Linked DNA regions of Oreochromis niloticus. The protein of the gene in region 4 interacts with the protein of the main gene of each other region in a biochemical or structural test. Links are inferred from orthologs where the notes say so. Each region holds a gene or a part of one and is shown on either strand. Other genes may lie near its edges. The genes, in order: tamalin, sntb1, gopc and rps6ka1.

Region 1 (7,669 bases), on a different chromosome or scaffold from region 4:
TCTGTCAATAAAGGTTGACAAACAGTGTGGAATTTTTTTTTCGACTTCTTAAGTTGCAGCAAGTCAGATAAAGTTAGAACCACAAGATCGAAGTGGGGGGAAGGAACCATGAAGTAGGCTGCCCAGAATGAGATAAATAAACTATGGTGCAAATCTATTCTAGCACAGTCCAATAATAAAAGTATGGGTTATGGTTTTAGAGGTTTTATAGCTCATTCGAACATAGCTTAATGATGTTTATTCTGACTCATCCATAAAACAGCCTTTTATGTACATCAAATACAAGAGGAAGGAGGAGTGAAAGTCAGCGAGAGGTTAATGTCTGTGTTTCTCTGCATCCTTAACTAAACTGCATAACAATGCAACTCCACTGGCTGCACAGGACTTCCTCTGTATGCAGGAGCATGCGGACGTCACATGCAGACGTACAGTAACAGTACAACGGCCTGTTGGAGTGAAGCTCAACGAGGCTCAATGAATATTTATAACCTCCCTTAACAATGGCTTTAATCAGCGATCCCCCTGTTTGAATGACTGCCATTCACTCTGATATGAGGCTGCTCGCCCTGAATCATTTTTCTGAGGAAGATGCCACCGTGAAAGAATTCATGTGAAGGCACAGTGAGAGGGAAAAAATAAAAAAGTCCAAAGAGAAATATCAGAGAAAGATGAGGGATGTTGTACCTTTGTGGTTCTGGCGTCTGCGTAAGGGGTTTCCACTTCTGTAAGCCGCCACCCTGCAAGGAGAAAACGAAACAAGATGTGAAGCATGTCACACACCTGCGTAGCTTCAAGTTTACTCACGAGGATTTCCCCCCTTCCCCCCGAGCATTTCCTAGGCACACCTACTGAGCACATCAGCGATCAGCAGCCAGTCCGTCCAGTCGTCTCGAATAATGAGCCAAGAGTGTTTTGGTATTCTTAAGCTATTTAACCAGCATGCCAGCATGGAGACATTGTTGACGAAACCAGAAATGCGTGACTGCTGCTCTGTCTACTCATTGCTCATGACATCAAAACAAGAGTTGCACGCATACCTACTACGCATAACAGCAAATTGGCCGCCTTCAGGCACAGGCTGTCAACCAATCTAAAAACTGGAGCGCTGTTTACAGCAAGTGCAGTCTATTAAAAGAAGCAAATAAGACAGAGAGGTGAGAACGGAGCACAATAACAGCATTGAGAGAAAAGCCAACTCACCAGCAGGAGCAGTTCAGGTCCCTGCCCCACCTAACTGTGTAAATAAGGCAGGTATCTGTCCAGAAGGCTCCACTAAAATCACTTGAATCAATCCACCTCTGTTCCAGCTCAATCATTTTCAAATCCCGCTCCAATGAAAGGCTGCTTTGTGCTACAGTCTCTCTGGGTAGTAAAATGTTGCTTTCTTTATGTCCCAACACTTACAGAATTGACCCAGAGGAGTCTCAATGAGTGCATTTATTCCCAAATACCCAGAGAGACCAACAGGGGTGGCTCGAGCAGGATCTCCATCCCCGAGTGTACACAATGCTGTGTTGTAACCCGTCGCTCTAGTGTATGTGTGTGGGTTTAACTGTGCCTCAGTCACAACAGGACACTGTGAAAGGAGTTTTTCCAACTCTGATGTGCTCTTCGGGCAGAAAACTCCAAAGCAAGTCGAGTAAGAGAATTCACTGAAATCAGCTTCATGAGAGGAAAATAAAAGTGACTGATGCAGTAGCCAAACAAATTTACAGTATAAACATCAAGCTTTACGCAACATGGACTAAAGGATGAGGGCTGTCTGAAACCATTCCTCAAATCCAGACTAATATGTAGGCCAGGGGTTAAAATCATTTCCCCTGAAATAAGAAGACTCGAGGCCAATTTATAACCAATCAGATCACAATCAGCCACAACATTCAAACCACGGCAGGTGATGTGAATAACAATGATCACACTGATCCTCATACTGACCCACCCCCACCTACCTGCCCCAAAGTCAACGGCTGTCCCTAACTGCAAAACGGCTCAGGGAAGGAAGGAGGAAGAAGACAAACATCCCGAAGGGAAAGATCCGGGCAGGTGATCTGCATACTATGACTGACTGCTGTAAGTTTTAAGCAAATAAGCACGTCCCTCCGAACTCTGTAGCGCATCCTGTAGCTCTGATGCAACTTACTGTTAAAATGACTACAGTGACAAACTTTCTATGAATCATCAAATGCAAATTTGCTTTTGTAACCTGTTACAACAAAAACTTATCAGTCATGCGTTTCAGAAAAATGTGTTTAATCTTAGAGATCACTTTCATCCAGATAAAGATTTTAAGGTATGATGATCATTTCAGGTATGAAGAACATGGGCGAAATCTGTTTCATACAGCATAAGATTCAGAGTCTGGGTGGGCACCCGTGCCCCGAGATGGGCTGCTATAAGATGTCCTGTGTGGCGCCGACCAGCCACTCACTGGATACAATAACTTGATAACCCTTTTAATAAGCTTACAGTCTCTGCTTAAATAATAAGTAATAAAAGGACTAATAGGAAACATACAGAAATTACTGTGTAAATGATTTTTGCCTTGTAAGTTGAAAAAGCACTGAATAAATTTAATAAAACTTTAATTAATGAGTGTACCTGCCAAAAAAGAAACTTTTGCAGGTACATTCAGCAAATAAACATTTAACAGGAACAGCAGCAATACCTTTTTGTAGTTTCTGGGCAGCGTCCCCCCCGAGTAAGCCAGGGTCTTGTAGTTGTAAACCTCCGAGGAGTTGCTCGGTGTGTCCATAGTCCTGCAGCTGTCCGACTTTGACGAAGGGAAATAAATGTCGTCTTGAGATGCGGGACCGCTCTCCGGTCCATTGGAGTTCACCTTCTTCAGCCTCCTGAACGTCATTGTTGTTGAAAATGAAAACTGAAAAAAGTAAAAATAACTTTCTTGTTGTCCTCCCACAGAGTCTGAAACCTGCCGAGGGAGATGCTGACCGAGTTTGGAGCTTCAGCGTGGAGCCAACTACAATTTCTCTTGTTTCCTTTGAATAGTTTGGAGGCGGGGACTGTTTTGAGAAACACAAATGACTGCCAATAGCGACAGGGACTTGCCTCCTCCGCGGTGCCTTCAAGTGCACCTCGGATCATTTCTGTTTCGCATTGAAACAACAGCAAACAGTGTTTACCAAGATACAAATAAATAAATGTCATTAGTTTCTTAGCTGATTGAAAGAAAATCGACCAGTAGCTAAAAAATGTAATCCAAAAATTCCAGACAAGAAGACAGAGTTTCCGCTTATTTACTTTTTATATGGTTGCAGACTAAATATTTTCACTATAGGGTCAACTGGTAGGACAAAACGATACTTCTGATTTTTAACAGACCAAAAATAGAATATCAGACAAAATTATCAGCTGAAATACCTCAGCTTCTTATACTAATTGGTAGCAGTTTGAATGTTAGATCACTTCAGCTTCCTTCTGTCTTTAGAAATCTTAATGACTCTTTTGCCAAAAGAGATTAAGCCTGCTGCAAATGAGTGCTGGATCTGAACCCAGGCAGCAGGACCATTTGGATGGATTTAAATCCTCTGATAAGGTGAAGCAGGAGGGTTTTCATTTATGTTTATTACCAGTGCATGCATTATGAATCAATCCAGTTCAATAAGTTGACTGATGATTTTCTATCCTTTTGTTAAAAGTTTAAAACGATTTTGCTTATTTTTCTTTAATAACATTGAAAAGCTGCTTTGAGTATTTGCTCATTCATCAATTGGGAATATTTCAAATGAGGGAGAAGCTGCAAAAAAGCAAATGTGCCTTGCAGAAATAATCTTGTGTAAATTTCATTAGAAACCTGGGGTCTTACATAATTTTCTGTGTGGCCGACTGTTTGCAGTACAGTTGTGTAAACCATTGTGACCACCAGCCATTGACAGAGTTTCCACAGGTGTGTCATCATGTTGTTAGTGCACACATTGCTGTGAAGGCAGCATTTGTTGCTTTCAAGCCAACCTTTAGTTGCAAATTTAGTGTTTTTATTACTTGTTAAAATTCAGCAGGGGGAAATCTGAACAGATTATAGATCCGTGACACTAAACAGATTAATCTCTAAGATAAAAAAAAAAAAAGTCTTTCACAGAGAGAGACTATGATGAGCGCATGACCCAGGACTAAAAAAAAGTTAACAATGCCCCCTTGTGGTATGTAAAAATTATCGAATTGTAAGAAGTACAAAACAAAAACTGAAGTCCAGATGATTTATTAAAATCTTTACACAGTTACTTATTACATCAACATCCTCCTGATATACTGGAATGATATGATTTATAAAGCATTTAAATAAAAATAAACATGTTTAAACATATCTTAACCAATAAGTTCGAATTGAACTCATCACAAATTACAAATTAAAATCAACATATCTCAGCTTTATGCCCTCACACTCATACACGCTCACTGATGCACACAAACACACGCACACACGGGAACAGGAGGAAGTGAATCAACATGCAGCCTCTTTACTATTCCCAATAACACTTTCAAGTATCTTCAACATCACTGAAATGTAGCTTTGTCTTTTCTTCTGTCTTGGTTCCAAATTCACACAAACATATTTCTGACTTTCTTTAAAACAACAACGAAACAGCAATACTACATGGTCTATGCTCAAAGTGCATGCCTGTATGTTCGTCTACCTAAGCCATAATGAAGAGAACAGCTAATAAAGGCACATGGAGCTGAATACTCTACTCTTCGCATGATATTCAGCTTGCTTTAAGTTTCTACCAAGCAGCACTTCCACTTAGCACTCACACAGCAAGTGTTGAGTATTGATAGAAAACACTGAGAAAATTTGGTCATTTTTGCCACAATGCAAACTTATCGTACCATAACATTTGTATTTGTATTATGCCATGCTTAGTTTATGTGTTACAGTAATGCAGAACTTTTGAAATAGTTATCCTAACTTTGACTGTCACAATGCAGTTTTTCTACAACATACACATCCAAACTGATTTTATGTTACAGAGAAAAAGAGTCAGTTGTCTATATACAGCAAACACGTGCATGTCGTCAGTCTGTTTCATTTGAAAAAGCCAGATGGTTTGGCCGGAGGACCCATCAACATACAGGCTTGATTCTTGTGTGTGATGTGAATCTGTAAATTAAAAAAAAATATATAAAATCAGGCATTTCAGGCATGTGACTTCATTGCATTGCTCTAATACTAAAGCAGCCTGTGTTTCTGTGCCTGTGCAGTGTTTACCGTGCAGGGAGGCTGCATCCACGGTTCTCCATCTATCTGCATTGGTAATGCCTTCTTTGTCCTACGTAGAGAGGGATAAACAGAATGCATCAGGAAGGTCATGTGTCATTAAAATGTAAATGTATCTTCTTATGTAAATTAGCTAACGATGATCCCTAACTACGACCCACTGTTGAAGCTGAAAGTCCAGCCTTGTCATGTCTGAACATGTCCGTGTGTCTTTTTTCCCCCCTCACCTGATGGTGATCTGAGAAGTTTTCGCGAGCCGCACCGCGCTCTTGAGTCCAGTGTAAATCTGGCCCATCTCCATGGCTCCTTCAAGGCCGACCACCTCTAATCGCCGATCACTGAGGTCTGACAAGAAAGCAGAGGCTAATCAGTCCAGAGAAGGAAGACAAGATTGGGCCTGAGGCAGATGCCACTTCTCATATTTAATCCGCATCAGAGTGGAGATCAATGACAGCAGTGGTTTGAGGCACACCAATGTATATGAATAATCATACATAATGTATAATCATCATGTACCTGCAAACAACTGCAGTTTACGTGCACTTATTTCTCTGTGCATACAATGGCGGGATGGTTGGACTCAGGTCTTGGCTGACAGCACAGAGATGAATAGTTAGGAGGAAACTGATTTGAGAAGCAAACCATAACTAACCACTAGTGCAGAGAACCTCAAGAAAAAAGAAAAAAAAAAAACAACATTTTTGCAGAAGCTGGTTTCTGCTTCTTAAGATTTCAGCTGAGATGTCAACAGCTTTCAGCCTGCATGCGTCATCGTTTCTGAGAAGTTGGCTAATGTTAACATGGTGCCATTCGAGCACTGAAGAGGCACGTGGAAACTAAGCATCCCTTCTGTGAGAAATTGGGCCTACTTCAAATGAATGCTGACCAGGGGCACCAAAACCCTTTTCTGTAGTGCATGAAATCTTCTGATAAGATAGTGGAGGAACTTTACAGTACAATCAAAAGAAGAACTAAGAACATGGAAGATGACACATAAACATTTTTTTTGCAGATAAGAATACAGATGCCTTGAAATTTTGGCTTGCTATTCTGGTGGCTCGGTATCATAAAGTTCAATAACCAGATTACACAAATAGCACCAGGTACTTGTTTGTTTGTATGTATGCACTAAAACCCTGCATTTAAGTGTTAATATTTTGGCCAGTCATAAAAAAGTTAAACACTTAAATGGACTATCGCTTTCAAAGAAAGAAGAGGGGCTGCTACAAATAAATAAGATAAATAGATATCATCTTTAAATGTGAATTCTGTAGTAAATATGTTTATAGTAAAAGCCAAGAATAAATATATGGAGATGGACAGAAGTACAGTATAGTACAGCATAGATGACCTTTAAGGGGTCAAAATCGTGTACACAGGGTTATGCTGCCCTCAAGTGGCCAGAAAATCAGTAACGCCACATTCAAAGTTAGACCAAACATCATCATATGGGTTCCAGTTTCATTGGACTGTTATTATAATTTGTGCAATTTAGAAACAGAGGAAGTTTGGTTGGAATAAATTTATTTTTTATTACACCCTCTAGTACTGTTGCTAGAACATCAACCCCCTGTCTGTTGGAGAAAATGTGGAAATTAAAATGCAAATGACTACCGTGTATTTTGGGATTGTCTGGTTATTTAAAACTATCAGAGAGAGATATATGTTGCCCGCAACACATTTTTAATTGTGAAATTCCTCTAGGAAGTAAGTTTATATACTCTGGATATATACTGGCAGAATGGATGAAGAGATAAGTACTTAATGCACTGCTGGTGGCTCGTAAAAAGACTCATAAAGGAGTTGGTGACAGGTTAAACTTTGTGAAAAGTCTAATGTGAGTCGATGAGTCAGTGAAGCTCACTTCTGTCCAATGACGCTGATGCTGACGTGAGTTTGAGGATAAGCTGAACTTTTCTATCAGTAAGTGCTGCTGATAACATTCACATACTGAATAAACTTCCATACGTTAAAGGAATGTAATCAAACTGTTTAACAAAGGGAAAATGTAATCTTTAGGACACTAAAGCAAACATAATGTTAGCTTATATCCGTCTGATGTTGGTTAGTTTTCGATGTTGCTGGTTGTCAGATGTTGCACGTCTAATTTGCCGACAAGAAATCGTTACAATATCAGAAATAAATAAACATATTATTGCACGTTTCTGTGTATTAGAGAAGTGATTTCAGGTGAGGAGATGAGGCTTGAGGTGAGGATGAATTTAGATAAACTTTATACTTGCTGCTAATTATATTTTCATTAATTTGTGTATTTCATTGTGTTCTCTCAGGACCACTGCTGTTAGATCAGACATCTGAGTAATACAGGTCAACTGCAAAATACCTTGGGAAGCCACTTTCAGGATTTCTGGATTGATGATCACCTCCGGCTCTTCCTGCGCCGTCAGTCCCTTAGTGTCCACTTTTTTGGTCTCA
Region 2 (7,173 bases), on a different chromosome or scaffold from region 4:
TTACAAACATCCACGTACAAATCTTTTGCACATTTGCAGACAAAATGCACTAACACACTCTATTCCCACGGGACAGGTACGATCTCCTAAAAGATACATCAGATGTTTCCTCTTGATCCCTTTTCTTATACGATACAGTCTGCCTCTCTCAAATCTTTTCAAGGTGGCTCCCACTCAAGAATAAAATAAAATGGTGCTGATATTTAGGTTTGACATATCACTATTCATTCGATTTTACTTTACATTTGACTAATTGATGCCATTTTGTTGTGCAACACCTTCATGTGTTACCCAATTTCTCACGTGCAAATTATCTCTCTTAAATAGCAGTTACTGTGAAAATACTAACCCTCACAGTAATCTTTATTTCAGCCTCTTTAAATCTCTTGTTAACTGTCCTTCTGTTTCAGTCTCTCATCCACTCAGTCTCCCATTAAATGCTCTTATACCCCTCATTTTTCTCTCTCTTCACCTTCCTCTGCTCCAATCTCCTCTGCCCTTCTTTCAGATCGTGATACAATTTTCAGCTGGGACCAGCATGTCCCCATGAGGAGGGTGATCACCGTGTTTGTGTATCTGAGATGAGAGAGAGTCGTGTGCACGTGTGCATGGGAGAGAGGGAGAGAGAGAGGGAGAGAGAGAGAGAGTGAGAGTGAGAGAGTGACACTTTGTTCTTATTGTCTTGGGTCCAAGAGTCCTCTTAGGGACAGGAATTAAAGAACTGAGAAGTAGGCACTTATGTGCAACAGTTTCCTGTATAAAGGAATGTGTGTGCATGTGTGTGTGTGTGTCTTCACCTTTCTCAGTGTGGCTACCCACAGCCTAATCTTGATCTTTTAGCTGAAAGCAACTGTAAAAAAAATGAACAGGCTGCACATTTGAGGAAGCAAAAAAGGCCAGAGGAAGGGAAAAGATATGAGTTTGATGTTGCATGATTGTCCCATGGCACATCTAGTTGCATAATACCTATTTCCTTAATCTCAATTATTCTTTTCTGCAAAAAGCAATCAGTCTGTAACCTGTTTCCAAATTATGTAATAAAACAGCACCAAATGCCAGTGTTGTTCAAGACTCGGATGACTGCAATCTAATTTGATATAAACAGGGTGAATTAATATCAGCTGCTGGAATAATATTTACTTTCCCGGGTATAACAACCAGCACCTCTCTTCTTTAATGTAAAATAAATTACATCCTACAGCAGAGGTCAAAGTGGAAGCTGTGTTTTTCCCTTTTCTTTTCTTTTTTCCTTCACATTCTATTGCTGCAATAAGTGAGTGACAAGTGACTGTAATTAACTGGAAAGTAGAAAATAAAAAACGTGTCTATTGGACCTGATCGACCCAAAACCCAAGTCTAAAAAGGCAACCATGTGGAGCCAGAGGTTCTTCCGACATTACAGGTGTCATTCAGTGAAGGAGCACTGATCTCCTCACGTCTTTATGTGAGTTTATGGGCATCCCAAAAATATTACGCAACATTTGAGAAACTGACACACAAACTGTTGTGGGATATGTTACACTCAGCTCTTACCGTCGGGGTACGCTTTTCACTCCTTCACTAAATAAAATCTGTACTTGCACGAACATTCACAGAGGCTTCCAAAAAACAACCCGTAATCTACTCAATCAATGGGAGGTTCCCCGACCTCTACCTCTCTTTCAGGTGTTCCTCTATTTCTTTTATCCTCTCACATGCCTCCTCTCCAGTATGCCTTACCTTCCAGAGTCACCTCTTTCCCGGCTCGTTTCAGCGCCTGCACAGCCTCGTCGTGGGTCGCGTCCCGCAGGTTCATACCGTTCACGGACAGGATCGCGTCCCCCACATACAGAGACTGGGTCTGGTCCGCTGCGAGCCCCTTGAATATTTTACTTATGAGGATGGGCATCTTATTCTCCTTCCCTCCTTTGATGCTAATCCCGAGTCCCCCGACTTCCTGCTTGGTCACCTTGACGCACCGCTTTTTGTTGGCGATCGCCTCGGGTACCCGGTCCGGGAGGTCCGTGAACGCGGTGCGCACAGTTTGGGGGCCATTGTTGGAGTTGGTATTACTGTTGTCATGGTAAGATCCGTTGGTAACGCCGTTAGAGTTGACATTGTCATCGACACTCTCGTTAACGTTGCTCTCACAGCTTAACGTGAGCGCTTCCTCGTTCAAGTTGACCAAAACTTTGTGCCACTGCTCTCGCACCAAAACCTCTACAAATCCACTTTTTTGCACTCCAGAGCCAATCGGAACTCCAGTCGCTACTACCACCGCCATCTTTGGAGCATTTCTGTAAAAAATCACATGTGGTTTAGTTCCCAGCGCGCTCGCAAGTTCCACCCTATCTTCTTCTCGCCCGGGCTGGACTTTGCCCCCTCTGAAGTTTTCTGCAGGACTTATATCGAGCGTCCCGTCCGACCAGCCCGAGCTCTTTCAGCGCAAACTCCCCCTCCGCTCTGCCTGCCCAAGATCCTATCTGCTGGGTGGAGTTTTCCTCCCCCCGCCGTCAGCCGATCCCATCTCCAGATCCCGCTTGTACAAAATGTGTACATCATTTCCCAACTTCTTGTAAAACACGCTAACCAGTGCAGAGGTAAACAAACACCGCGAAGATTAGGCAAAAATTCACTTTTCATCCATTCCAGCTACATCAAACCGACAAGACTACCATGATGTGTGCCTACACTACTGTCATGTTAGAGTTGGCTTTACGAATCTTTTACACTGGCAGGAAAATAAAATGTAATTTGTGGAGTAGAATATTTTTTGTTTTGTGCGCTCTTGGGTAAGATGGAACTGAAGTCACGGAAAATTGGCATTTTTTTTCCCACGGCGGTAGATTTTTAAAGACATATTTAAATAATATTAATTAGAAGAAGAATCAAATAGGCTATATGACTAGAACTAATTTCCAGTCTTCCAAGTGTCTAGTGGGTCCCATTCTTCTACGAAAGCCCGTTTTTCCGTGGGTGAAGTGAGAAGGTTTTACGCGCGTACAGGAATGCGTCTGTGCGGGTTGTTTCGAAGAACGAAAGAAGAGAGGGAGCACGTTTTTCTCTGAAGCTCTGTCAGGGAAGGCCTCCCTCTAAGGCTTTGTTTTGTCTACTATTATTCTAAAGGACGTCCTTACGCCCTGTCAATCATGCGCGATCCAGAAAGCTGAAAAAAAAAGTCAGTCAGCTTAGACCTTGAGAGCGCAGCTGGAGATGTCAGCATAGTGACCGGAGCTTCTCGGAGTATCGCTGGTCAGGCGGACCTTTCTTCACAGGCTTAACCCCTGTGTTCAAGTCTAGTGAGTGACTGACAGTGAGGCTGAGACAAAATCAGTTTCATCTCATCACCAGCTCCTGACTGCATCTCAGTAAAAGCTGGAATACTGAGAACAAGAAAATGTTTAATGTAAACGTCTTTAGCTCCGCAGCTGTCTGGCTGTGGATCTTACTCACAGCTGCTCAAGTGCTGAAACGTGGTGAAGTAGACCACAGTGTCACACTAAACTATTAGAAATGTTGCTACGACACCTACCGGTGACGCCTTTAAATACTAAATACTAGAGCTTCTTTAGTGATTTAGTGAATGTATGACTTGGCTGCAGACTGCTAATATAGAGTATTTTACCTCTGTTTTGTGCCATATGTGCACAATTAGTTTGTGTGTGGGATTAAGTTAAAATGTGTCATTAAAAGTTGTTCAGTTATGGAAATATATAGTACAGCGTGGGAGACAAGCTTCCCTACAAGCCTGCCCTCAAAACTATGTCAGATCATTACTACTGAGCTGCACCAAAGACATGATTAACTTGTTTATTGTGAACAAGAGACTGCAACAGAAATACAAAGAATATTTTTAGTTTAATGAGGTGTAGGAGCTACAAGCGATTTTTACTTTTATATGGAAATGAGCTGTCACGTGAAATGTACAATCTTTGTTGTGATAATGACCTTCAAAACAAACAAAGAAACAGAGAGAGAGAGTGCTATCTTTTTAAAGGTGATGGTACTTAAAGGTGTTAATAAATCTTTTTTATATCCCTCCTCGCCCGGCGACTTGATTGCACATTTTGTTTTCAGTGCACCAGAGAGCAGCTGCACAGAGGTGTGGTTACACACAAACACACATGTTCTGTGTTGTGGGTCTGTGAACTGGCTTTCTGGCAATAATTAAGAGGGGGAAGCAGTCAGATGAAGACTTACGTGACGCACGTGTGGCCCGATCTTGTTTTGAGCTTTGTTTTTTATTATTATTATTATTATTATTTGACTTTTTATTGAATAATTTATTCCTTCAGGGCCACCAATGGCACCAAGGGGGGAAAACACACACACTAATTCGTAAAGCTCACTCTGGTTTATCTTTTTCCCCATCTCTCTTCAGCTTTTCTTCAACATCCATCTCTAGTTTTACTAGGCTAATCCTCCCTACTAGGCCTATTTTACCCTAAAAGCATGGATGCTGTGTTTAAAAAAACTTGTCAGCTGCAACATGTTTCAGCTGACAAGTTGAAAAATAGGAAGCTAAAGACCAGGAAAGATGCATAATCCTATAAATAAATAAAGCATTTTTTTCAACAAAAAAGTGAAAAGAATTTGGAGATGATACATTTTCTAAATTTTATTGAATGGCTGTTGTGTATGGCCTATTAATACATGTAATTCTATAGAGGAAACCATTTCAAGGGCTCAGAGACACTTCTGAAAGCCACAGCTACGCAAGGGAGATAACTGTTTGGTGATATGATGAATAAAATGTGAAAATATCTTTTAGGAAATCACAAGAGACGACCATCCAGCTTGCTATCAGTCCATAAGTTTAAAAGGCAGCCCACAGTCTAAAAAGCTGCATCTATGATGAAGTGGAGGGCATTAATGCACATGAATAACTTGCTCTGTAACTGCACCATTAATGCCGAATGATATATACAAGTTTTGGAGGGACAAATGCTTTTTTCCAGAGATCTTTTTCCAGGGGAAGACCTTGCTTAATTCAGTAAGACAATGCCAAACCACATTCTGCATGTATAATCAGAGCCCTGCAGTCTGGGTGCCAAGCAGGAAAAACTAATATATTTGGTGCATTATGAAATGAAACATACAACAAATGAGGCACTTAACTGTTGAGCAAAACCTTTCACTGTCAATTTTCAAAAAGCTTATAGAGCTGATGCGACTCAGTGAGAGACATGGCCCTACCTCAGCTTTTTAGAAACATGTATAGTCATCATATTGCCTCACCAATACACTTTTTATCTATTAGTTTTAACTGGAATGAGAATCGAGTACAATGAGAGAACCTTTTTAAGTTTGCTGCTTTAAGACTGACATGTCAGTTTTCCAATATACAGTGTATACAGGGGGAAAACATGGTGGAAATGACCATTGCTTGGTGGCACATACATCTTTGTGCTTGTTGCAAACAGAATGAGGACACGCTCTTCATAGACCAAGAAAAAAACGATCAGGATTTTGTAAAATATGCTTCTCAAATGAATTAAATGAACACTTGAGATCTCAATGGGAAAGAAAAATCATGCTGGATATCTGTACTCATATCAACTGAGTAATGTGTTAGGAATGAAATGATGCCACATTGTTTGGCGGATATGAAAATTATCAACCAAATCAAAGGGGGGAAAATGATGCAGCAGGCTAGTCCATTACCAGTAGTCCAGTAACTCAAGATGTTAGTTTGTATGGCCCCCACATGCATGTGTGCATACCTGATGATGTCAGGGCTCCTAACGATACACAGTTGGTGTCTTGGGGGATCTTCTCGCAGATCTGGGGCAGGGGCGAATCTAGAATGGTGGCATGGGGTGGCATGCGCCACCCTAAAATGATTTTTTGCCGCCCCTATTACAGCCCAAGTTTTACATATGACAGAGTTGTTTATTAAAATAAGACAGCATTAACACTTTGAACCTAGCTATTATTAACACTAAATATAAATTATAAAACTGAATATATTACATAGTGTTAACCCCCCTCCACCATTAACAAATGGTTCAGCCCATATGCCAACCGGATTTATTTCTTGTTTACAGTAGCAACCCATGCCTATGATTGTGCCAGAGCACATTTTGAATCAACACCACGGGCATTTCAGATTTCACACAGGTGGTTGGTTGTCACACTTTGAAAATGGAATGAAGGTGAGTTTTATTAACCCTCTGAGGTCCAGGACACACCTGACTGATTTAAGCTGATACAGCAACAAGCTGCAGCCACGCTGAGTCTCTATTTAAGCTTGTGTTGAAAGTTCGGACTTCAAAGTATACACCAGTTTTTAAATTTTAATAGCAGGCCACTAAATCTAGAGTTATGATTAAAAAAAATACATATGTTTAGTGCAGAAGAAGTGTTTGTTTTTTTGTTTTGTTTTGTTTTGTTTTTTAAAAAGCATTTTCTAAGGACAGCGCGAAAACAGTAAAGAAAGGAAAAAAAGCCACCTCTTTCCTACTGGTGGAAAAATGTACGATTTTAACCAATAAAAAAAATGACAACATGAACCAAAGATAGAGAGCGATATCGACAGCGAGTTTTGAGATGTGGGAGATTTGTGACGTTTAGCGTGGAGTGTATAGTTAGTGTGCTGTGTATTCGCTGTTTTGTTTTGTGTGTCAGTGAGGGCACTAATGAATGTGACAAAGGCAGATTGTAATGTAAACACTGTCTCCAGGTGGAGTGATACACCCGTTGTCAGGCCTGCAGGGTTTATCGGTGTCTCCTCTGTCTTGTGGCGGACAAACAATTTTTTTTACTGGCACAAATAATTTGTGGGTCATCTTATTGTGACACCTGATTGTTCTCTCATTTTCGTTATAGCAGTATTTTTAAATGGTTATACAAAAAATCAAACTGCCAGGTGCATTGGCTGCATTTTTAGATAAATAGTTGTATATAACATTATTGTTTACAAAATTTGTGCATAGGTTTTCAAAATTTAAAATTTATATTTGCATTTCAAGTTATGAAAATAATTTACTAAACATGTCTGTGTTTTTTACAGTAAAAAACAACAAAGGATTTTATGTTTTTTGTGTGATTTCAGATCAGTTATGTTAATATAGTAAGTCAATGAAAAAATAACTGTAAATTCAGATTTCTAACATTTTGTGTGGCCATTCAGTAATATCACTTCAGTGTTGTTTATGTGTTGATACACAGTAACTTGATGTTAAACCTTATTAG
Region 3 (7,455 bases), on a different chromosome or scaffold from region 4:
GATAAATGATCAGAATTATAATATTTCTGAGGAAAAATTTCCCCGATAAGTTACCCGAATCGAATTGAAATCGTGGATCGAATGTGGACCTTGTGAATCGGAATCGAATCAATTCTAGGAATCAGTGATGATACCCAGCCCTAACGCTGAGCTAACAAAACTGTACAATCACAAAATTTTTGACAAAAAATAAGTCATGTTCAGTCATTTTTCTCAGTGCATCTGTCCTGACCCCTCTATGATCCACTTCTGTTCCAACACTGGAAAACATTTGGTAACAAGGTTCAAAGTCTAGGGCAGAGGGTTTGCTCCATCTGATAGATGGATGGCACAGTGTATGTGCATTGTTTAACAGGTTTAACAGGTGGCAGGATGAATCACTATGATAACAAGCTAAGCTGGAAGAAGCAGGGTTATCTCTAAGCAGGAAAACCCATCAGTTCATGCAGATGTCACTCGGGCCTGTATCACCTATTTAAACATTGTTACACACCGATACAGCCCATAATGACAATATTCACAGATGGCAAAGCTTCTTTGGACATGACAATACACCCTAATTACACAGCAAACATTGTTGAGGAAATGCCAAGGAGTTCAGGTGCTGACTTAGTCTTTAAAGCCCCTCTCATTGAAAATAAGCCTGGGGCCTGCCGACTTACAGACCGAGTCTGACAACTTTGTCGAAATGTATGGAAGCTTTGAACGGCCTAAACAATAATGTGTGTTGGAGCGGATTAGCCTGTTGCTCTTATGGTTTCGATTAGCTGAAAGCAACACAATTTTTAATGAACATTTAGGTTTGTATTGTTCAGAAAATGTCTCAGGCTTTTAATCATGTCTTTATAGTGAGAGCATTTTTGATTTGTCTAATTAGTAATGACAGGTCGTGTTCTTAAAGCAAAAACACTGAATTATTATAATAATATTAATTAGAGACACAATACGGATAAGTGAATGACAGTGATACTGTTTTTAGTTTTATGTTAACATTTACAGAAAAAATGAAGGGCACTCGAGAAAACAAACGAGACATTACATAACATAATCCCGATAACATCTAAAGAAAAGAAAATCATTGTCATTTTTAAGGCCATGACGTAATCATCGAAAAATGCTGAAATTAATTAATTTATTTATTTAAAAAAAAACGTTAGTGGTACATAATTATAAAGGATATTTAATAAAGCGGTTAAAGACACCTGAGAACATGTTCTGTATCTAGAAGACAAGTGAATGTGAAGTATGCTAACACCTATGTTGGTTTCAATGACCAAACGAAGGCTGCTGTGGATACCCTAACCCAGGGGTCGGCAACCCGCGGCTCCGGAGCCGCATGCGGCTCTTTAGTCCTTATAGTGCGGCTCCGCGTGGTTTGGGAAAATAAATTAGAAGTATTTCGCTGAAGTGTATTTTATTTATGTTAGTTCTTTTAAATTTGTAGTTCTAAATTGGAAGATTATTGTGATATTGAAATATAAATATAAAATTATATTCTATTATTTTTTCCTCACTCAATATAAGCGTCACACTCGCGGAAGCTGGTATTCCCGCCGAAACACCGTGCATTTATCGAGACTTTCAACCCCAGGTAGGCCAATTATGGATCTTCGGATCCACATTATGTCAGCAGCTCCACCGTGAACTATGTTAAAGACAAACACTGCTCACGCCTCACAGACCACAGATGACAGCTTACAGTCCTGTGTAAACGTGATTGCGGGTGCCGCTCAGGTGCGTCCGCCTCCCCTGCAGCGGCGCTGCAGACCACGCCCCCGCCGCACGCATTAACCAGGTAAAATACATATTTAGGCAGAATTTTGCAAATATCTATTTTTAATTTTTCAGCAGCATAGAGCTTTTTTACCAATTATTTTTTAAAAGTCAGGTCAAGGCTCCAACAGCCCAAAGGAGATATAAGGGAGGCGGCTCACAACAGTTTTTGTTTGCTACATGGATCATTTTAGTTCAGCTGGGTGTCTTTGCTTTTGTTATATTTCTTTAAGAGTTCAAAATGTGTTGATTACATAAATAAAATGTAATTTTCTCTGTAGCACTTCGTGGATTTCATAAGCAGCACACTTTACCTCACCTCACCTTACCTTGTTCACACAAAGGAAAAAAACAATATATACAGTGTTATCTTCATTTTAGATGTCAAAAAGTATTTGCGGCTCCCAGTGTTTTCTTTTGTGTGGAAACCGGGTCCAAGTGGCTCTTTGGGTGTAAAAGGTTGCAGACCCCTGCCCTAACCTATGTGATCACAGTTTACAGGTCGGTGCCACAGATGGATATAAAACCTGAGAAGCACAGGGAGGACACCAAAACACAGGAGTGACTGAAGCCCTGAAAACACCAGTGCTGCTCTGTGGCATTAGTCACTCTGCTGAATCTTGAGTGGAGTCGGCGTGATCATTTCATTAACAAGAAACCTGATTCCTAACATAACCGCTCTTCTTAGAAGAAATACTAACCTCTAGTTTATGGTTGAGCTGGAAGACAGTCTGGGTTTTATGACAGAGCTGAGCGAAACAGGAGCTGAGGCTGGTCATCTTCTGCCGACCCTCATACGTTATATCCACTTGATCTGGATCTATTTCTCCAAGCAACAGATCCACATCCACGAAAGCCTTATCAAATTCCTTCTCCAGCACTTCTAGCCATCGAAACATGGACATACTGGGGACAAGGCCCGAGTGCTGGCCCGATGGGGAGCATCCAGTCGAAGCAGACATGGTTAGAGCAAGGTAACGCTGATGTTAGCTTTGTGCTAACTTAAAAAACGATGACAAATTAATCTCTGCCAACACCGTTAAAATAACGCTGTAATGTGATGAACACTGTATTGGTCCGTAGACTTAAAATTCCCGAAAGCAATGCCTAACCAGGAAGTCCCACATCAGATTCACGATTTCATCCAAGCAGCCACTACGCAGAAAGCGGCGTACAGGAGAGCTACGGCTACTCCTTCCGCTACTGTGGAACTGTGCCCTGTGGGTGTTCTACGGGAACTGTCTGTCTACGTCGTACCGGAAATACGACATGTTTACGCAGAGCTTGTTCCTGTTCTTACTTTCACAATTAAAGTCTTCTAATGCGAGAAATTTTGTAAAAATAAATAAATAACATTATTTATGAACAATATAATTTTACTAATCTCGGGGCTTTCGTGACATTTGCAAGTGTAATGATTTACTGTGTAGTGTTCAAGTAACACGTGTTGTGTAGTTCTGGCTCACTAAGTAACTGATGAGGATGTGCACAAAAAGCATTATGCTGTATTGCTCGTAGGGATGGGAAGCTTCTGAAGCGCAGGTGTTAGAAAAACCAAGGCCAGTTTCGACAGGTGGCGTACACCGGGCACCAGGATTCACTAACCAACACCCTCTCTCTCAGTAATGTTTTTGTCGTGGATTGTGAAGCCCAATATGGATTATCCAAGCACTCAAACACTGGAATCTAAAGTGTAATCTGTGGCATAAACTCACTGCTGAATATCTCAATAAAAACCTCCTCTCTACTTTCAATGAGAAAATAAAACAGCAGGAATTTTCAGCTCTGAATCCCTTTCAACAGAAAACTTTATTTGCTGCAATAAGTTACTTTATTATCACTATAACACAGTACTCATATAACGCCATAAAGAATATATTTATACTGTTAAAAGAAATGTTAGAAAAACATCCATTAAATACAGGTGATCCCTTTTTCATTCCCACTGACGCTTCTGCTGTAATAATCTCATAAAGAGCAGGAGTAATGCAGTTTCACTATGACCCAGTAAAACATCATGCCAGTGTTATAAGATACAGCATCCACAGCAGTATAAAGTAAAGTTTCTTCATGGTTCAGAGGTTGCTCAGCAGAGGATGATTTAAAAATGTTCTGGTCAACCTGTGTGAAATGGTCTGTTATGATTGGTCAGAATTAGCCTATGAAAATGTGACAAATTTGACCTTTTTATAAATAAGGAATTCTGTCTTTTTTATTTAAATATTATAGATTTTAATTAATTGAAATTAAAACCTAGTGCAGTGCCAGTTTCTAGCACGAAGCTGACACGAACACCTGGAAAGCTTCAAAATCAATCAAAAACCAACCAAAAACAAAGCACACTGATCTCACAACAGCTGGAAACCTGTGTGGTTATTCCAATAAACACAGCAGTCTTTTCTCAAATGATTTAATTTACTTTGTAAATTAAGTAACTGAGAGCAATATTAAAAGAGAGAGAATTTTGCTGAAGTACACTGATCACTAGTCACAGAGTGCCTTCTTTAACAGTCCCAATATGTTTCTGGCCTCCAAAATATGTGTTGATCATAATTATTAACAGTCTCATATAATAGGTAGCTTTGTTTGGAACTGTGCAGAGCTTGTCTGTGTCACTATAGTGTACTGGTGTAGTGAAATTGGCCAGCAGATGTCACCATGGACAAAGGTTTCGGGTTGTTTCGAAGCCTCAATACAACTCCGGCACAAATGCTTTGAGTGTTTCAGTGTTTCACAAAGCCTCACTTTTCCCATCGCTGCAGACTGCACCCGACAAGTGGAGATCAAATAATCCGTGAGTTTTGATGTGATAGAGAACACAGAGAGAAAAGGCATTTATACTCACAGACACACCAAGGCTAATCAGGGTTAATTAGACACAGTGCTGGAAAATGTGGAACTATTATTTAGTTTTATTTATTATGAGTACTTTTGTTTGGTTAATAATAATTCAGTCCTTCTGTACCAGTTGTAGTAACCAGCACGACAGAGGCAGGGCAGATTTTAGGAAGCACCTCTAGTTGAAACTAAGGGGTCATTCAACTTGTGCAGTTAGCTTCAAAGCATAACCCTACTTGAAAATTGGAAAACAAATGGAAATGTGCTGAGGATGATGTGTGCTCTCATGTGTGGTGATTTCACTGATCCACTTCTGCACCTAGTGAAAATATCCTTTCATGGGATATAAAACTCTGACCATTGAGGGGATGTGCGCCAGTGACGAGCATCCTGCCCAGAATGCCAAGTGGTGAACCACAAGACAATATCCTGAAGCATTGCCACTGGCCAGCATTTCTGCAACTAAAACTGTTGCACGGGCACCGTTTCAGGTCATCTCCCAAGTCAGAATTCCGAAAAAGATACTGACTGATTGAGGCACCTTGTTCATCCGTATGCAGTGATGAGTACCTACAAAAAATAGTCCAAGAAATGGCACCTACTGAAGAGGCAACAGGATCATGAGCACCCAGGACTCACTCGTAGTGATCTAGTCCTCTGGAAGCATCTGCAGTGGAAACTGCATACAACCTTAATGTGGCAGGTTGCAATATAGTTGAACTAAACAGATTTATTGTCCAAAGGCCAAACAAAATGCACATTTATTTCCCCAATTGGACCATTGCTATACTGGTCCACTTGAAAGTCATATTTTGTTAGATTTGTATTAGGATTTTTTTTTTTATTTATTACAATCAGAATGAACAAAAGGAAAGAGAAGATGGGGAGAAAGTTAACAGAAGAAGAGAGAGGGCACTGAAAATCTTGACCACCTGCTGAAATAAAATTTAAAAAAAACATGCAAAAAACAACAGCAGGGAAACCTTAACAACAACCATCATATGCATAAGTAACAGTAAATATTAAATATTTAATGTTATTGAGCACACACAGTATTAATGACACATCACATGTTTAGAGGCAGCAGCCAACCAAGATTGTGTGCATTTGTTTGGACACCTTGTTCCGGCCACCCCAGGACATGAAGCAGGCATGGAGGAGACCCGGGCCCAAGACATCTATAGGCACCCCAGAGCACGAGAGCCCCAGGAGGACCACCGCAGGGGAAGTCACACCACCCACCGAGAAAAGACGTGAGGAGAGCCCCAGACGGGGTTCACCCAGCAGCTACGGTGCAAAAGCCCCAGGGGGGCGTAGGGATAAGCCCACAGGCTCCACCAGCAGCTGGCTATGCTAGAGCACAGAGTCCCCGCCCCAGATGATGAACAGACAACATGGATGTGAGAAGACCCCATGCCTCAAACGGTCCTCTCATATGTTGTGTTGATGCATGCTGTTCTAAAGTGCATTTAAAACAGGGGAGGAGCATGGCGCCAACAACCTTCAGCCAGATAACAGCTGGTGACAGCTCAGCCTCTCCCAACACCCTAAATGTCTACATGCAATTTAAAATTGAGAAGTGAGCACAGGCACCAGAGGTGAGGCTAAATAAACAGACCGTTCTCTGCACACAGTTCAAGTGTGCCCACCCCCAAGGCCAGAGTGTAAATAATGTGTCTAAGTTATGGAATAAAATTAAGGCACAGGTGACCAGGAGGGGAGGGGAATACCTCCCCTGCACCACAGTGACATACCTGTACCTCAAGGCCCTGCATGTGTGGTGGTGTGATGGAGTGGCAGGAGGGAGGTAATAAATCCCATCTCAATGAGAGTGACACTGGATGAAAGAGGACATTGATAAGCTACATTTTGATGTATATATTATACATTTAGGGCAAAGGTCTGGGCGTGAAAGAAGGAAAAAGACATTTTGTTCAGATTATTCTCCAGCCTCAGTTTTTACAGCTGATGATATCATCATGCAGTGTTGGGAAAATTCCATGAAAAATTAAATTCTTCATGAAACCTAAACTGTTCCTGTGGAAGAAAAAAGAAAAAAAAAGATCAAAAGCACAGAATTACCGGATAAAAGTCTTGTGACTCATATAAAGTTTGATGAAAGTTAGGCCGAGTGGTAGGGCTCCAGAGTGGCCTTGGTTGGTGCACTTTTTTGGAATTTCATAAAAACCATGCAATGAATTGCTGAAAAAAAATACAAGCACATATGTTCAAAAGAAGAAGAATCTAATGGTCCCTGAATGGTCTTCCTAAGTTGAACGATGTTGAAGGAGATAAAAACAAACAGAATGGGAAATAATATGTCACGGCTGCAACGGCAGAAGTGTGGGGTTATGAGTGAGGACCCAAGATGCAGGCACTGCTCATGTGAGTGAGCTTTATTGTGGAGAGGGACATACAACAAAAGGCGAGGGTGGCGAGAACTGAACTGAGAAATAACCTAAATTGGGAAAATCTAAGAATTAAACAACAAACCTGAACACAAGGAGACAGAGAGTGGCAGTACATGAAGAATGAAAGCATAGACAAACCAGCAACAAGCAGAAGGAAACACAGGGCTTATATACACAGTGGAGTAATCAGGGAATAGGAGACAGGAGAGAAACACAGCTGGGAGAAATCAGAGCTGATGAGACAAGGGGAAGCAAAACCAGACACTAACATAAGACACACCCTTCACAATAAAACAGGAAACTCAACACACACACACAAAGACACAGACTCAGAGACGTGGGCTTTACTCAGAGACCTAACTACACTGGAACAGAGGGAACACAGAGGCAGAGATGATTAGACACGGAAACAGAGGGAGCACAGAATATCATG
Region 4 (7,690 bases):
GGCGTTATAAATCTTGAATGCATACTGTGTCATACTGCATACTGTACATAAGCACAGAGTATGGTAAATGTACTACAACACACCAAATGCTGGTACTGATGAGAGTACAATTCAACTTGGACTCATTAGGCTGCAATAGGAGAGGATCCTCAAATTAAAGCATAGCCAAACTTTTAAATAATGGGGTCAGTGCTGAATGTTAATGATGACCTAAATTTGGGGATTTTGTGCATGCAACTGCGACTCTGAGCACAGTAGATTAACTCAGCTGCTGCTTAAAAACTTCTGTTCACCATGGGCAGCCAATCAGAAGAAAGCTGACTTCAAGCAAAAGGGAAGGAATGTAAAATAGCGATTTTCAGACAGAGGGTGACCTTAGGAGCTGCACCCAGAATAAGGCGAGTAATGATGAATTTGACCTGTGAGTCATGAAAAGCTGTTAAAGAATAAAAACGCGGAGCTTTAAATGAGAGTAAAAGGTCCCCGTTAAATTTGCAAGGCTGCACAGAACCACCCACATGATTTTGGGAGACGATGAGAAGAAATCTGATGCCCCGATGTTTGCAGAAGGTGAGACCACAGCACCTGTTCATAGGAACCCACTGAAAGCAGTGGTGGTCTTACTATGCACACATACCACTGCATGTCATAGCTGTCTTTGTGTTACAGGAAATTCATACACCCTTTTATATGAAACTAAACAACCACTTGAAAAATGAAGTTGCCAAACACGAAGCCTTTTCAAATCAACATTACCGGAAAGGTGAAAGGTGCAGCTCTACAAAAAAAAAAAAAAAAAAACAAAAAAAAACCTCACTCACTTTTCTTTGGGGGTTTTTTTCCTGTCAATGAAGCCAAAAGCCAAAACAGAAAAAAGCAGCAATTAAAATTTCACGACCACATCCAAGCCCGATGCTGCTGTACCTTTTAGTGTGGCCTTCTTAAGGACCTTCATGGCATAGAGCTGGTTGGCATCGGGAGGAGTCACCTTTCGTACCAGGAACACCTGCAAAAGAAATTTTTTTTTTTTTAAATTCCCCCCAAAAACATAACAAACACCAAAAACACTGTTAAGGATGCAACGATTTTTGTAGGTTGGGGAGTAAGAGTAGCAAAGGAGGAAGAGAAAAATAGACATGCAGTCAAAATAGAAAGAAACCGAAAGAGTAAAAGCGAATTACCTTGCCAAAGGATCCCTGTCCCAGGACTTTGAGCAGTTCAAACTGAGAGGCATCAGCTTTCTCTGAGCCTTCCTTGACCACATGGGTGATGTTGATCTCTTTGATGTCTCCATCTTCCTAAAGAGTGAAAAAAAAAAAACGGATGGAGGGAAAGCAGTCAGTGATCACAGAACGACAGCAATGCTGCACAGCTGCAAAAAAACCTCAGAAAATGTCACAAGCCGCTTGCTTATGCAAAGATAACAGTTGTCCTGTGGAGGTGCCTCCTGCTGTAAATAGCATCACATCAATTCAAAACATTTCAAAAAAAGAGGAAGCATGGTAAGAAGTGAGATGTGCATGTGAGCACAAACAATTGCTTATCGATGCGTTTATGTGCTTTTAGCATACTGGAACTGGTGGTGTAAACGTTCAGTGGAAGTAGATCTGTGTAAAAGCAAGTTCACAGCAAGCGCACTCTTACAACTGGGTGGAGCCCAGCTGGCACCGCTCACAGCTCCACCACATGAACACGCGCAGCTGACCTGGTGTCAGCCTCACCCAAAACTCAACAACAACAACGATGCAGAGAAGAGTTTTCCCCTCCCTTGATAATCTTCCTTTAATTTCACACCTCGGGCCCTGTGATGAAGCAAAGTACAGTAGGTACCCTGCTGGGAGAATTTTAGACTCACCAGTGCAGTTTCAGGGGAAAGACTTTTTCCCCACTTCTGCCTATGAAATCCAAATCTCAGGGATCAGAAAGCAGAACATCCGGGCTGTCCTGCTCCTAATTTCTCCTTTATAGGCATGTTCAGGTTTACACTATTACCATGGATCCTGAATAAAGCTACATTTGGTAATTTATTTGAAAAGCAAACAAAAAATAATAAAGTGCAATCAGCTGACCGTTGCATAATCAATATTTCAAAGAAGTGACGAAAGATATATATTTTCAGCAGTCTCTTCTTTCAGCTTTTTAAAAGTTTCTACAAAACAACAGCCACCGCCATCACCACAGACCACTGCAGCCCGGGACTTTATTTGACAACAGGAAACCAGAGTTGGCTGAACACAGCAGGCTTTCAGTTGCACCTTGTTTTCTGAGCAACCACGACAAGAGCGAATACAAAACCTCGTTTGCACTTTGCTGTGCTGATGAATCCCTCTTTTCTCCTCATTTTCTTAAAACTCAGTTTCATTAAGACGATGCCACTGAACGCCCTGTCAACGACTTAACTACTCAAAGTTGATCGAGATGTCAATATCAGGAGGTGTCACTTTACCGTCCAGTGGTTCCGCGGTGGAGGTAAAGTGCCAGTGTCCTTGTCCGTTGCCGCCGTGGGTCTGTAGGTGTTACAGTGAGCAGGGCTGCCAGTCAAGGATTTGTTCTTTTTGAACAGGTAGATGGACAGCATGCGAGTCAGGTTGAACTTTCTCTTGTCCTTCTCCATCTCAGCATTTCCCAGAGTGTTGTATCATCCTACCTTCATCCATAACAAGGTACACACTCTTCTACCTCTCATATAATCATCTCAAATCTCACCTCATCTCACCGAGAGCACACTTTAGGCTCGTTTGTGCTTTCATGTTAGGATTCGTTGTGTGGACTGCAGGTAAATATAGAAAAGTCTCTCAGCCTCTGCCCTTTTGTCGACTGCAGAGGCCTTCTGCTACATTTCTTTCAGTGCTTCATCTTCATGTTCTCTTCCATTCTGTCTCCGGTCCTTGCTCTCTCCCTGCCTCTGTGTCTGTCTGATTAGACCGGTGTGCCTTCGGTGAATGACTGCAGCTGAAATGAACTGGAACCGAAGCGAGCAGGAAGGAAGAGCCTGCTGTATTCTCACAGTCCTGCACCCAACTTCTTGTCACACTCACACACACACACACATGTGTGCGGCTGAAAGAGAGAGAGAGCGAGAGCGAGAGAGAAAAAGAGAGAGAGCAAGCGAGCAACAGGAGTACACTGAAACTCAAAAGACGCACAAAACAGAGAAAGAGATAAAGAAAAAGGAAAAAAGAAAATGCCGATTAAATGCTTTCCTGAATAAATGTGATTAAAATAACCCAACGCTTTATTTGCTTGTATTATCAGTAATTTCACAGACTTAAGAACCCAACTCTGTGCCACTTCCCTTTACCCATAATTCAACACAGAGGCCAGCGTGGAGGAGGATGGCAGAGAGAGGATGATGTGTCCCCTCTCGGTGTCAACACACCAGAGAGGATTCAGACAACTCACTGCCTCTGGATGACAGAGATTTTCCTGTCTGTGGCCAGGCATGTTCCTCTCTTCCCCCTCTTAACAGTCCTGTTCCTGCTCATCCTGTCTCCTAACACAGCTCTCGCTGCTCGAAAAGTGGTCTTGAGATCCTCTTACTTTCCTCCATTGCTCACTTTATTGCTGTTTATACGGCAAATACTTCTTTAACCTGAGAGAATAAGCCATTACGCGCCTGTATATAGAGCATGAGTCAACTCCTCTTGACCAAAGAGCAGCGTTACTTGGCTGGCAGCGAACCTGCACTGCAGCCTGTGCTCAGAAAAGGTTATTTGCTTAACAATTTTGTGATGAGAGAGTACATTTCCCAGAGGGTGGGGAGACGAGAAAAAAAAAGAAAAAGAACATACAATCTGACATGGATGAAGCAGGATGCAGAAGTAATGTTTGTTTAGCGAGGGAGGAGCTGCAGAATGAATCGATTTAAAAGCAACAGTACACAGGTGGTGAGAGCTTACCTGGGCTCTAATAGTGGCATAGTCCCTCTCTATCCAGGAGATATGAGACTCGTTCTAGGAAGTGTTTGAATGGAGCAGTTAACATGAGTTACGTAAAACATGACGGGTTTTGCAACAGGTACATTCGTACCTGTTCATACAGATTTGCTGCAGGTACACCTCATTAACACACAATCACACACACACACAGAAGAGGGTAGAATAGGGCCACATTAGTGACAGGAAACTTCTCTTCCCTCCTACTTCTCACTTCCTCTTTTCTTGAACTGATCTCACATCCTTCCTGCTCGATAACTAGATAACCAACTACACAGGAGAGCTGAGTTTACAAGCATGACAGCTGTTGCAGAGAAGAAGCTGAAATTCAGTGTTATGACTAACTATATATAAAGGTTCTCGTGTTATCTGGAATCTAGAGTACTCAGGAACAGCTGTCTTTTGAAAGTAAGTCACATGGTGTGTGGGAGATTAAAAAAATTAAAAAGAAAAGAGTATTCACACTTCATGGCCTCACACTCATTTTTTGTGGTTTTGCAGATCAGTTTCAGTTTGATTGCATTAATACCATGACTTTGCCAAAACGCAAAGACGGAAAAACAGAGTATCTACCTTTTAAATTTGCTACACCGGTTGAGTGAAAAGGCAGGATCTTCCGTGAAGCAGCATTAAAAATAACATTTTTTATGATTTTTGAGGGTGGAGGAGGTGGAAGATCCTCCATTCACATCCTCCTTTGTTTCCTGTCATTTCACAGCTGGGAAGATGCAAACTCTCACATCCACCCTCACAGAGGAAACCCCTTCATCCACTCCCAAAATATCACACAACACACTCGCGCGCGCGCGCGCGCACACACACACACACACACACACACACGCCAAGCACTCCCTAAAGCTTTCGGCAAGTCCCCAGCACATTCTTCACCCAACCACACTCACACGCAGCTGCCCACTTCACAACAAGCAGAGGTTTATAACATGCACACATGAAATAAAAGCATCTACTTGCCTCTGGGATGCGGTTTTTGGTGCGGAATAAGAACCTCCACATGTCTGTGTCCAGATACTTCCATGTCACTGATGCTGTCACTGGGTGTCAGTGAACCTCTGTGACAGTCACACTTAGACACTTGCTTCTGTGTCAGTTAGCCAACAACTCTGTATGCAATACCGCAACAGATACAACCTTCCTGTATGCTAAGCAAAATGGGAAGTGAAGTTATAAAAAATGCATACGAGCAGGGGACCGATTAGCTGTGGACAGCATAGAAGGAAAAGGCTCAACTCAAGCAGGAAATAGCTCTTTCTCAATGGGAAAATGAATCACAAGTCTATACAACAGCTACAAGGACAGGTTTATGGAGACAATGAGAAGAACTTGAATCTTCTGTGTCATTTTAGGCAAAAAGTGGGGAAACTGACTTCATGCTTTTGCTTCAGTTTGAGATTCAAGATAGCAATCATGCAAGGTTTTCAATTTCCGTTGACACATCATCTGACTAAAAGTCCAACAAAGCCTGAAAAAGGGCAGAGTAAAAGTTTAACAATAAGAGAATCCTACAGTCATGATAATCTTCGGTTGAATCAAAGCTTAAACGAGCTAACACAAATGCTTCTCTGAGTCCGCTTATGCAACATTTGATAACCTTTTCAGACTGCTAGAGAACAGATGCATCGACTGTGAGAGATAGATATGGTGTAATGCCCTTTCATTAACACAAGGGGCCAGTGCAGGTCTGCAGTCGGTCCACTGGTAGGTGTTCCAAAGAAGGATGTCATAAGAAGGAGCTTTAGCCAAGTAAGGGCATGCTCACATTGTTAGCTCATGCCTCATCCAAATCCCAGTGTTGGCTCTGACACCAATTACAGTAAGGGAGACAAAGTGGGACAGAAAGGAAACATGTGGGAGGTGATAGGCTGGAGTGCTGTCCAAACACTGTCCATTCACAGCAGCAGAGGTCACACCAGTTTAAACCCTACAACAGTCACGTCTTGCGTCAAAGCAACGCACCAAAGCTCGAAATGATGGCAAAGTTCAGAGGAGAGAATCATTACAAAAAATAAGACAAGAGGAAGAGACAAGAGGAAAAGAGAAGTCACTGGTCAAATGGTGCTTGAGCCTGGAAGAAGGAGTTAATTTAGGCTGTTGCTCTCTTAGTGTTTGTGTCTTGCACTGTAGCTTCTCCTCCTTCCTGGAAAATGAAGCGCAAGCACCTGTACGTTTTCAACTGCAAGACAGCTCCGACTGCTCGGACAGAGGATGACGAGTGAAAGCGGGAAGGTCCAGAGAGGGAGACAGAGCAGTCTAAACATTCATCTGTAAAAACAAATACCCACACTAGACTTTGCCTGCAAGAGCAAACGCACTCAGAGGAGTAAAAAAAAAAACACACTGCAGCGGTACCCTCACAATGACGAAAGATTCTGAGATTATATAAGAAGACAAAAAGAGACTGTAGGCAGCATGGATCATATTTTTAGGCATTTCTAATAAAAATGCTTTAAGGTTATAAGCAGGAACGGCTACTTTTATTAATGTCTAATAAAAGTCCCTGTACTGAAATGTTGCACCCTCATTTAAATCTGCAGCTGCATAATCAGTTATGATTGAGATTAAATCAACTTTTAATGTATAAAATGTCTAAAAATTGTCAAACACTGGTACTTAAAGCTGAGTAATATGTATGTGAATGTAGAACTAGTTTCATTTAAAACTCATGTCTTAGTAATATTGGCAAATATTCCCATCACTTGCACATGATTAACTAATCATTCAGTTCAAATCTTAGTGTACAACCCTCTATGGGTCATTAATGAGAAGACATTTTTTTGCTCTCGCTTCATCATTTATTGCTTATTTAAGGAGGAAGACTTAAACCATCAGAATTCAAGCCACAATCTAAAATCATGACCACTTAAAACGCCCCTTAAGTGCGACACATACTGTCTGTTCTGACTTTCACCTGGACCCGAATTTTAACCCTCATAAGCAAGTTCCCATGACTTGCAAACAGATATATTGGGTTTCACAAATGATTACACAAAACTCATTTTTCCTTCCACATTTTTCCATAAAAGGGCTCTTGCCTAAGTGCTAAGCAGCACTTTTGTGTTGAAAATGATAAATGATACGAAACGATGACGATGGCTCCCTTTTCATCAAATCCCAACTGTTTTATACTAATTACTGGTTTTCATGCCCATAGCCTTGAAGAGAATTACATATCATTAATAAATGAATTATTAACCACTTTTAAAAGTGGTTTTCTGTTTGTCAACTGTTTCGCACGAAAATTACAGATGTTCAATAGCCTGGCATGTTTTGAGAAAGAAGAAATGCATAAACACTGTTTAAAGTGAGATATTCAGAGCTCTACAGTGTAACTATGCATATGCACTCATGCGGGATTTCAATGCAGGAGGTCTAAAAGAGTTTTGTATCCGACAATCACATCATGAACTCGGGCTAGAAAGTGGCTCTCTGTTTTTAAATCAGCCAAAGTATCTTCCTTCTCCTCTTTAATATCTGAAGGTGGGCACCAAAGAACGGGACTATATTTTGGAGGGCAGGGAAATCATTCAACTAGTTCCTTTCAAAGTCAATTTAACACCTTTGATGGACAGGCTGTTCCTTCAGCACACCTTTTCACATTTTTAAGCCTCTCCGTCTGCTCTCCTTCATTTTGTCCTCTCCCATGTCCCATTTGTACTCTATGACCTCCACCAACACCTGCTAACAGCCGAGACTGACAGGCTGGTACAAAAAAGGGAAGAGGGTGAAGGAAGGTTGGA

The links.
Region 1: the proteins of rps6ka1 (region 4) and tamalin interact in a test that uses a peptide from one of them, tested with the Homo sapiens proteins (2 studies listed by BioGRID and IntAct). The link is inferred for Oreochromis niloticus from reciprocal best matches to the Homo sapiens genes RPS6KA1 and TAMALIN.
Region 2: the proteins of rps6ka1 (region 4) and sntb1 interact in a test that uses a peptide from one of them, tested with the Homo sapiens proteins (2 studies listed by BioGRID and IntAct, with this or other methods). The link is inferred for Oreochromis niloticus from reciprocal best matches to the Homo sapiens genes RPS6KA1 and SNTB1.
Region 3: the proteins of rps6ka1 (region 4) and gopc interact in a test that uses a peptide from one of them, tested with the Homo sapiens proteins (2 studies listed by BioGRID and IntAct, with this or other methods). The link is inferred for Oreochromis niloticus from reciprocal best matches to the Homo sapiens genes RPS6KA1 and GOPC.

What each region holds. Positions count from the first base shown.
Region 1 is NC_031984.2:9,491,406-9,499,074, reverse strand, and holds the start of tamalin (general receptor for phosphoinositides 1-associated scaffold protein), read right to left. Parts: upstream 3,012-7,669; 5' UTR 2,861-3,011; coding exon 2,666-2,860; intron 2,071-2,665; exon of another isoform or gene 1,201-2,070; intron 994-1,200; exon of another isoform or gene 859-993; coding exon of another isoform or gene 850-858; intron 738-849; coding exon 685-737; intron 1-684. Other genes in the region: dgkaa (diacylglycerol kinase, alpha a), read right to left, coding at 5,042-5,116, 5,225-5,285, 5,461-5,578, 7,578-7,669. UniProt on the Homo sapiens protein: Plays a role in intracellular trafficking and contributes to the macromolecular organization of group 1 metabotropic glutamate receptors (mGluRs) at synapses.
Region 2 is NC_031976.2:8,169,988-8,177,160, forward strand, and holds the start of sntb1 (beta-1-syntrophin), read right to left. Parts: upstream 3,011-7,173; 5' UTR 2,264-3,010; coding exon 1,720-2,263; intron 1-1,719. UniProt on the Homo sapiens protein: Adapter protein that binds to and probably organizes the subcellular localization of a variety of membrane proteins. May link various receptors to the actin cytoskeleton and the dystrophin glycoprotein complex.
Region 3 is NC_031980.2:28,200,793-28,208,247, reverse strand, and holds the start of gopc (Golgi-associated PDZ and coiled-coil motif-containing protein), read right to left. Parts: upstream 3,017-7,455; 5' UTR 2,736-3,016; coding exon 2,475-2,735; intron 1-2,474.
Region 4 is NC_031983.2:14,341,762-14,349,451, reverse strand, and holds the start of rps6ka1 (ribosomal protein S6 kinase alpha-1), read right to left. Parts: upstream 3,017-7,690; 5' UTR 2,615-3,016; coding exon 2,447-2,614; intron 1,299-2,446; coding exon 1,182-1,298; intron 1,007-1,181; coding exon 925-1,006; intron 1-924. UniProt on the Homo sapiens protein: Serine/threonine-protein kinase that acts downstream of ERK (MAPK1/ERK2 and MAPK3/ERK1) signaling and mediates mitogenic and stress-induced activation of the transcription factors CREB1, ETV1/ER81 and NR4A1/NUR77, regulates translation through RPS6 and EIF4B phosphorylation, and mediates cellular proliferation, survival, and differentiation by modulating mTOR signaling and repressing pro-apoptotic function of BAD and DAPK1.